Canis lupus familiaris: one gene and its partner. The protein of the gene in region 1 purifies or fractionates together with the protein of each later gene. This does not show direct contact. Links are inferred from orthologs where the notes say so. Each region holds a gene or a part of one and is shown on either strand. Other genes may lie near its edges. The genes, in order: PITPNM3 and VAPA.

Region 1 (4,581 bases):
ACTCCTCCATCAGGGTCGGTGGAGGCAACTGGCTGTCCTCGCGGGCAGGGGGCAGTGTCACACCACGGTCTCAGCTGGTGTTTCCCGGAGGACGGACGGTCCAGTGTGTCTCCTGTCTCTGCTGAGGTGTCTCTTCCCTTGTTTTATTTTCGGCAACTGTTGCTGCAGCTCACCCACTGGCCCGCTGTCTCCCTGTCCCCAGCCACGCGATGGCCCCTCCGTGAGGGCAGCGCCCACGATGCCCGCCCTGCAAGGGCAGCGCCTGCTCCCTGATGGGTGGACACCCAGTGAACATAGACAGTGGAGGGGGTGGTTTCAGCCCCGGCTCTGCCCAACCCCGAGTGACCCTGGACAAGCCTCCTAGTCCTCAGGGCTGTTCCCCAGCCTGGATGTGGGCGGCCAGACGAACTCAGCTTGGGCGTGGTAGGGGCTTGAGCCATGGGCCCCCCGATGCCCCCAGGTTTGGCCCCACTCTATACCCCACCCTCAGAGGCTGCACCGTGGCCCCCAGATCCCCTTGGACAACAGGAGGGACGCACCTCTCCTAGTTCTGAGGACCTGGACCCCATTGCCCAGCCCGCAGCACCCATGGGGGCACTGGCCATGTGGCCCACGGAGCTGCGTCCTGCCTGGGCGGCGTGGGGCGCACAGACTGCTCTGTACCCCTGCCAAGGCCCCCAAGCCGCCCACACACGAGGGGGATCCTGCCCCCTCCCCGGGGCCTAACCATCCCCCCTGTACATGGCAAGGGGCTCTCATCTTGCCAGGGAAACCCCCATATGAGGTGGGGTGTGCATGGGGGAGTCACGGGGGAAGGCTACAGGGGAGGTCATGGGGGAGGTCATGGGGGAAGGTCATGGGGAGGTCACAGGGGGGTCACAGGGGCAAGGTCATGGGGGGTGGTGGCAGGTGCAGAGGGAGGTGCAGCCTGTGGGGTAGGGGCAGGATGTGCCCACAGCTGCTGGAGGGAAGCAGGTGAGCAGGCCCTCAGCACTGCCCGTCACCTGCCATCCCCACCGTCCGGGAGCACCCACCCTGGTGAACTGCAAAATATTTGAAATAAAAGTGTTCTGAGCATCAAAATATTGACAGCACTGTTGTCACACTGTCAGCCGGTTGCCACGGAGAAGCAGCCCCACAGCCACTGCAGCCAGACACCCACGGGAGGCAGCACGTGAGGCCCAGCTGGGCCGGGGAGGGCTGGGGAGGCCTGGCACCCGGGCCCTGCTGCCCTGAGTTGGAGTCTTCCCCGTTTCCAGAGGTGCAGAGGTGACGGGGAACCCGAGGCACCGCAGAGGCCACGTCCCCAGGGTCCCGCTCAGGCACAGTCTGTCTGCCTTTCAAGACCCTGTTCGGCCAGGTGTTTCAGAGCTGCCGCCCCAGGAGCGAGCAGATGCCTGGACGTGGTGACTTCCCGGGGCGGGGCCGGACGGGCAGTGAGGACCGGCCCTGGGTACAGAGGAGGCCTCAGTGCATCTCGTCCCCGCCCACTCAGGCCGGGCAAGCGTGGCCGTGGGGACTCTCCCTCGGACATTGTGGGCAGACCTGCCGCCCACCGGCACCGCCTCCTTTCCTCGCCTCCATCCCCACGTCCCCCCAGGGCCTGGTCACCAGCTCTGTTGGCACCTGGGCCATTGCACTGGGTGGTGTTGCTTCCCCTGCGGGAGCCTGTCTTCCTCCAAGTCCCGCCTGGTCCCCCTCTCCCCCAAACCCCAAGCCCGCAGAGGATGGTGCCCATGCCCCACGGCCGACGAGAAAGGCAGAGCCCCTGCCCTGGGGATGCACGGGTCGGTACATGTGAGTGTGGGACATGGTGCGAGTGTGGGACGTGGTGGCCCCAGGAGAGACGCCAATGCTCATCAGGGATCCCTCTAATGATGGGGCGAGGGCATTCACTTACCTCTGGCATCAAAGAATTCATCGTCAGAGCTCTCCACCGAGTCGCTGAGGACAGTTCGAAGGTGCCAGGGGGCACCACCACCTGGGGGAGGACCACCTGCCAAGGGGAACACACTCATTAGCCAGGCCTGAGCCCGTGTCCCTGCGTGAGGCCCCACGTGGCCGAGACCAAGGCCAGCCTTCCCAACCCCATCGGCGCCCCATGCCTCGCTAACCAGCCAGACACTGTGCTTGCATTCAGGCTCCAGCTCCTCCAACAGGAGGGAATGAGCGCTCCCCAAAACCGAAACTGGAGGCCATCAAGAGGCCCCCAAGGTGGCCCGGGGCCAGAACGCACAGTGGGCCGTGCTGCGTGGACACAGGGTGTCAGCCAGTGGGAAGGGGCTCTGTCCACAGTGGCCACTCAGCCACCTGCTGATGTGAGACATCCAGGTGGGCAGGACAGGCCCCATGGCCCAGGATGTCACACCGGGCCCAGAACACGTCTTCCCACAGGCAACGTGCTTCTGTGTGTTTCCCCGTTGCAGGCAGGCGACAGGCCCTGCCCAAGGCCATCGGGAGGGCGAAGGGGCCGACACAACTGCGTGTGCAGGCCTGGACGGCGGCCTCGGCAGAGACACAGGCCCCAGTGTGTGTGTGTGGGGGGGGAGCCTGCCTGAGCTCCACTTGCGCCCCGTCCTCTTTCCACAGCCTTGGCTCCCCACCTACAGTGCCCACCGCAGTCCGCCCTGAGCTCCAAGGATCCGTGTCAGCCTCTTGGGGGGCCTGGGGCGGCCACTGCTGGATCACCCGAACCATCCACAGAAGCCAGGCCATGGCATCGGACCTCCTCAGGGCCCTGGATGGAACCAGCCGGTGCCCAGGGCACCCTCCACTGGGCAGAGCCACGAAGGGCTGGAGATGGCAGGTGGGCGAAAACCTGTCAATGCTGAAACCACAAAGGTGCTGGGGGGATGCTCCCAAGAAGCTCACAATCGACAGTTGACCATTGAGCCCTGGCAACACCAGGGCCTGGATGACACCCCAGCATCTGTGATGCAAGGGCTCCCCATGTGTGGATGTGGCCACATTGCAAAAACACAGGGGACTCGGGCGGCTGCTGCTTAAGAGCTCAGGGCTGAGGACAAACAGGATCCCAGCTCAGCCCTCATCCCCAAGAAGCTGTGCACCGGCAGGTGAGCCCCCCGCCCCTCTGCTCCTCAGGGCCCCGGCTGTGAGGTGAGGACATGCATACCCACCTCGGGAGCCTGAAAACCTCAAACCAAGGCCTCGGTGTGCTCACCAGCACATTTTTTCACACATTAACATCTTTAAAACCAGAGCATGTCTTGGGGCACCCAGGGGGCTCAGCAGTTGAGAATCTGCCTTTGGCTCAGGGCGTGACCCCAGGGTCCTGGCATCGAGTCCTGCATCGGGCTCCCCAGAGGGAGCCGCTTCTCCCCCTGCCTCTGTGCTGGCTCTTTCAAATAAATAAATAAAATCTTAAAGAAAATATAAAAACCAACTCGGAGCATGTCTTACATAACAGCACATCGTAGTTCATGGCTGGTCCTTGGGTTACACGAGCTTGAGCTGCACAAGTCCACTTACACACGGTCCTTTCGATAAACACAGGTGTTTTTCCTCTCAGTAGACTTCCTTACGTGTTTCTTAATAACATTTTCTTTTCTTTGGCCTGACCCACAGCGACTACAGCACATAGTGCATACGACACGCACGACACAGACTCATTGGCTCTTTATGCTCCTGGTGAGGCTCTGGCTGATGGTGGACAACAACCAGTGAGATTCTGGGGAGTCAGCAGTCATCTGTGGGTTTTTGACCATGCAGAAGTCAGCACCCCAGGCGCCCATGGAGTTCGGGGCTCAGCTATAAATGGTTTTGCTTATTCTTCCTCGGGGTTTATAAAATAATCATGTATCTTAGGCATTGGCTGCACCTTAGATTGTATGGAAAACAGTATGACCGTCAGGCACACGGAGCTTGCCATTGCTGAGGTGTCAGCCCCGACCAGCAGGCACACGTCTCGTTTCTGTGCCTCAGTTTCCCCATAGGCACAATGAGGAACCTGACAGAGAACCTCCCTTTTCGATTCTGGCTGGTGTTGGGGAACCTGTCCGCACATGCAGCAGATGCCAACGCACAAGTGAGAGGTGTGTGCTCTCCCTGGGCATGGCTATGGGGACACAGATAGCCCCAGGGAGCCCGCAGCAGCCCCGCTCCCCTGCAGGACCTGGCATGGGTCCCTGCCCTGAGCCCAGAGCCTGGAGCACACACTGTTCTGTTCCTGAAGGGCAAGGTCAGCCCTGTTGGCCCAGGGACAGCACCTCCCACCCATTCCCTCCACCTGCCCGACCCCTTCACCACCTGACCCCCCACCCAACCCACCACAAACTCCCCAACACACACCCTTCCTGTTCCCAGGCCCTGGATTTACTGCCAACTCATGAACACACACTGTGGCTGGGAGCCAGGCCAGAAGCTCGTCCCAAAGCCCAGAAGTGACCTATAGGTGCGACACTGGGTCTGACCCATATTCCCCATGGGGAACCCTAGACACTCTTGATTCTGGTCACTCACTGTGGGCAGTGTGGCAGACTGGTCCAGGCCCTGGATTGACTGCAAGGATGCGCCAACACTGAGCATTTTTAACATGGAAGTGGGCCTGGTGCCCTGATGTGA
Region 2 (4,600 bases), on another chromosome or scaffold:
AAATGCAGATATTACAGATAAGCACAAGCTTCAACACTGGCCTGAAAAAGGAAGGCGGTGACCAACTTGGACGGCAAGAATCAAGGACTTCACAAAAGGAAAGGATTCTTGAACTGGAGACTGCTTGACAGATATGAGGGAGAACAATATTCGGGACAGAGCATGTGCAAAGCCTTGCAACAGCTTGAAGTGTTGGGGAAAATGGTTTCATGTAACCAAAGCTATGTGTAGAAGGGAATGGAGAGGCAGGCATTGGGTTTTGGACTTTTTCATCTACATACTGGGGAAATGTGCCAGCAGGTTCGATAACCCAAGGGAGCAATAGCATTGAAGTTTGCATTTACAAAGGATAGTTCTTAGCAGCAGTGTGGAAGAGAGGCTGAAGAGAGAGGGACACTAGTGAAAAGCAGGCCTGTCTACAGACTTGTAGTAGAAAAAAGGCAAGCGATAATGACCTAAAATAATTACCCAAAGCCCACCCAGATCCCTCCCTAAGTAATACATCCATATAACCAAAATCTACTAGTTACTTTGCATTAATCTCTTTAAAGGACCTAAACACATTTAACACACCAGATGAGACCAGGACCCTCCTCCTATCGCTCTCCCACACGCCCCCAAGTAAAACACACGTGGTCCTCATTCAAATAAATACCAGTGTTTCTTTTTTTAGCACAGCCCAGGACACCATCATTCCTCCAGTTACATACGCCAGAAATCTCAAAGACATCCAACACACCTCTACTCTGCAGGAGCGTTATCCAATATAGACCACCAAGTCTCACTGGCTTGACCCTCTAACTTTTCACCATCTCCAATACCTCAGACCAAGTTGTCACCTCTTGCCTGAACTAAAAAAACTGCCTAATCTCTATCTTCTAATATTACTTCATGTTGTTACCAGAATTATGGAAATTGTTTTAGTACAAATTTGAGTTATCACTACATTCCCCCCACTCTACCATTCCCCCCACTTATAATCCCTGTGAGATAAAAACAAAATTCCTTAGTCAACCTAGAAACCAGCACCACACTCATGAGATTACTTTAACATTAAATGTTTCAGGTTCCCTCCTGCCACAGGATCTTTGTAAATACATGCAGCGCCTACTGCAGTTTTCTTTCCTTTTCACCTAGGAAACTTCTCATTCTTAGAAAATCTTAGTCCAATTGTGTCTTCCCTGAGCAGATCAAAGTCCTCAATTTTATGTTTTCATAGCCCTACACACCTCTTCAGAGCTACAGTTCCTTTTGCTGATTACCTGACTGGTGTCTCTCTCTCCGACTGGGACTGCTGCATGAAAAACAAAGATAGTGTTTTATTCAAAACTGTACTTCTAACACTTACTCAATACTTCTACATTGCAGAAATTCAAATCTTTATTGTATAATTAAATGAATTAAAATGAATAAATTTAAAAGCAGAGTTGTTTTAAAGGAGACAGATTCAAAAATTATCTCTGGGATGTAGAAATACAGATTTTAATTAGCAGATATACAGAGTATTTCTAATATAAATAATCACGATGCCACCAAAAAATTAAAAATATGGAAGACAAGTAAGCTTGGGTTATAAAAAAAAAAAAAATCCATCTGGGATATACCAAGTTTGAAATGTCTGAGTCAAGGGGTGCTTGGGTGGCTCAGTCGGTTTAGTATCTGACTCTTAATTTTGGCTCAGGTCATCATCTCAGGGTTGTGAGACCAAACCTCATGTGGGGTTTCTAGCCTGTTTAAGACTCTCTCTCCCCTTCTGTCCCATACTCCCCCAAAAACTGAGTCAAAATTCAAATCCAGATAGTCAGCAAGCAATTCTAAAACTGACTCTGTAAAGTCTTAATTAAAATACAAATTTGAGTGTGAACCAACAGGTGCAAAGATAGAGCAAGAGAAGGTGAAGCCATCAAAAACCAGGAGACTGAAGAAGCAAAGTTCACAGAGATAAAAAACCAAATCAGAATCTCAGAAATATTAGCAATTAAGAAAAAGCCCATAAATGAGACAATAAAGAGAGCAAAAAAGAAAATTAGAAGACAATTACATAGAAGTCAAAAGAATTGTTTTTAAAAAGAGGAACTGTTAATAATGTAAAGTGCCACAGAGATATGAATTGGAAATGATCAATGCGATCAGCAAGCAATAAGCAGTGAGGACAGAATACTACAGGGGACAAGAGGTGAGAAACTAAACTAAACAGTGCACACGGACAATTTTTCCAATAAGTCTGACTGCAAAAGAAATGAGGGGCAGGGAGGGACATATACCAGAAGGAGTTGGGAGTCAAGTACTTTGTTTATTTGCTTTTACAATGAAAGACTTATGTGTACTTGTATGTTTAAAGGAAGAAGCCGGTGGTTGAAAACATGAGAGGGAAAATATCTGAGGGAACATGGTCTAAGTATGAGTCATGAGGGATTTTACCTTAACCAACAAAAACAGCAGAACAAACAAGCTTGGATAGGAGAAGGGTTTTTCTTTCTTGGGGGCGGGGGGGGGGGGGGAGTGGAGTATAGATGTGTAAAGATGCAACAGGTGTTAAAAGAGAAGACAGCACATCATGGAAGACCGTAAATACCACACTAAAAAAAAAATATATATATATATATATATATATTTATCTATTTTTGATCCAATAGATTTGGATCCAGTGGGCAATCAAGAGCTACTTGAGAGCTTTTAAGGAATGGAGTAATAAGATGTCATCTGTGGCCCAGAGAAGGGGGAAATCACCCTAGGGATCCGATGAAGCCACTGTGAAATAAGAGCTGATCTGAAAGACCTAAAAATATGCCAAATATCTACCAAGAGTAGAAGAACTCTACATCCTCACTTGTACTTCTCAGTATTATGTTGCTATTCAAAGATGTTCTGGCTGACATCACAGGTTTCTTGGTTCCTCAGAGAGCTTAATTTTCTTTATTCGCTTGATTTTGTTATGGGCCACCTTTAACAGAATGGTTCTGGTCTATTTTCCTTTCTCTGATTACTAGGAGGAAGAATACATTCACATTTTATTTTAGCATTTTCTAAATTTCCTTCTTCCAACTTTTCTCCAAAACCACTAGTAGGCAGGAAAAATATAATATAATACAATGGAAAAAAATGCTGTAATAGTAAAACTATAACAGCACAAAGAAACCATCTCTCAGATATAATATCAAATTTCACATCTGAATTCTAGGTCAAATTACTGACAGTGTTTAAACAAAATTTGGTAATACCTACCTCTTTTTCTTTACTAATCCGACAAAAGAGCTACCTTAGAATTCATTACACCATTATAAAAGCACCTTCATAGGTTAACAACTGTATAAAACAAAATTTTTAATAAAATAGAGATATTAGAAAAATGTATTAAACTGGTATATGTTTCTCCATAATTGTGCAAAGTGCTGATAATTCCTATCAAGATGATTGCTATGCATATGACAGAAAAATTCACCACCTATTCTCAAAATGATTAAACGAGTCACTATTGGAGAAACGATCTCCGTCAAGTGTAGAGTTCAAAAGAATTCAAATAAGCCTACAAAAAAGATAAAGAATTTAGCAAACTATCCTTTAACACACTTAACTAAAAACTACAGATGATTTAGGGCAAGTCAGAATGAAATGACTATATATCATCATCAAACTAAGGATAAGGAGACTGTGGATTCTAAATAAGTCTCCTCACTTAGTGTTGAACTGTGCTTTGGAATATGGAGAGGTTTCCATCAAAGCAAATTATTTACCTTTGACTAGAAAAAGAACATTAGGAAGAAGGGAATCAAATGACATCAAAGGTCATCTCTCCTAATTCACCCTACCCCTCCTATTCCCCAATCCTCCCCATTATCCCACCCTGGAACAGAAAAGCACAGTTCAAACCACTAAGTATAAGCCACACATTCTCGGGGATCCTTGGGTGACTCAGTGGTTTAGCACCTGCCTTTGGCCCGGGGCTGATCCTGGAGTCCCAGGATCGGGATCGAGTCCCACATCGGGCTCCTGCATGGAGCCTGCTTTAAGAGAGAAAATAAATAAATAAGCCACACATTCTCTTACATCAGTAGTTGAGTAAACAACCACTCCCTTGCCCATCCCTTTCCCCCCACCCCCCAAATGAAAATAAGCCTCTTCCAAGAAACCTGGGGGTTTCTTCATACCAGTCCTGCCTCTGTTAATAGCACCTATGTGCCTTTGGTCTCCCTCACAAGTCTGAGTTCTTCAAGGACAAAGAAAAAACCTAACACGTTTCACTGTTTTACTGGACGCTTTCTCTATTAAACTACAAACTGTACATCTTTTCCCACCTTGTTTAGTACTGAATCCCCAAATATAATCTGATAACTGTTGAATTACTTAGTTGAATACTCTTAATTAAATATAGGGATGGCACAAAGCTTTCAGTAAGTGTTCACTAAGTGGCCCAACCAAATATGTCTTCATAAACTTTTCAGTGAAATACATTTTTAAAAGTCAATTTTAAAAAGTGGTCACTGATATCCAAACTTTTAAAAATGGTCATTGTGAATTATTTTCATTCATAACACAAGAAAAACTTGTTCCATAATCATGACTAATAACTCTTCAGTAACTAAAATAATGTAATATATGA

Evidence for each region.
Region 2: the proteins of PITPNM3 (region 1) and VAPA purify together in Homo sapiens (co-immunoprecipitation; 3 studies listed by BioGRID and IntAct, with this or other methods). This does not show direct contact. The link is inferred for Canis lupus familiaris from reciprocal best matches to the Homo sapiens genes PITPNM3 and VAPA.

What each region holds. Positions count from the first base shown.
Region 1 is NC_049226.1:30,970,020-30,974,600, reverse strand, and holds the start of PITPNM3 (membrane-associated phosphatidylinositol transfer protein 3), read right to left. Parts: upstream 2,810-4,581; 5' UTR 2,716-2,809; coding exon 2,604-2,715; intron 1,997-2,603; coding exon 1,901-1,996; intron 1-1,900. UniProt on the Homo sapiens protein: Catalyzes the transfer of phosphatidylinositol and phosphatidylcholine between membranes (in vitro). Binds calcium ions.
Region 2 is NC_049228.1:75,932,779-75,937,378, reverse strand, and holds the start of VAPA (vesicle-associated membrane protein-associated protein A), read right to left. Parts: upstream 2,895-4,600; 5' UTR 2,880-2,894; coding exon 2,803-2,879; intron 1,295-2,802; coding exon 1,263-1,294; intron 1-1,262. UniProt on the Homo sapiens protein: Endoplasmic reticulum (ER)-anchored protein that mediates the formation of contact sites between the ER and endosomes via interaction with FFAT motif-containing proteins such as STARD3 or WDR44.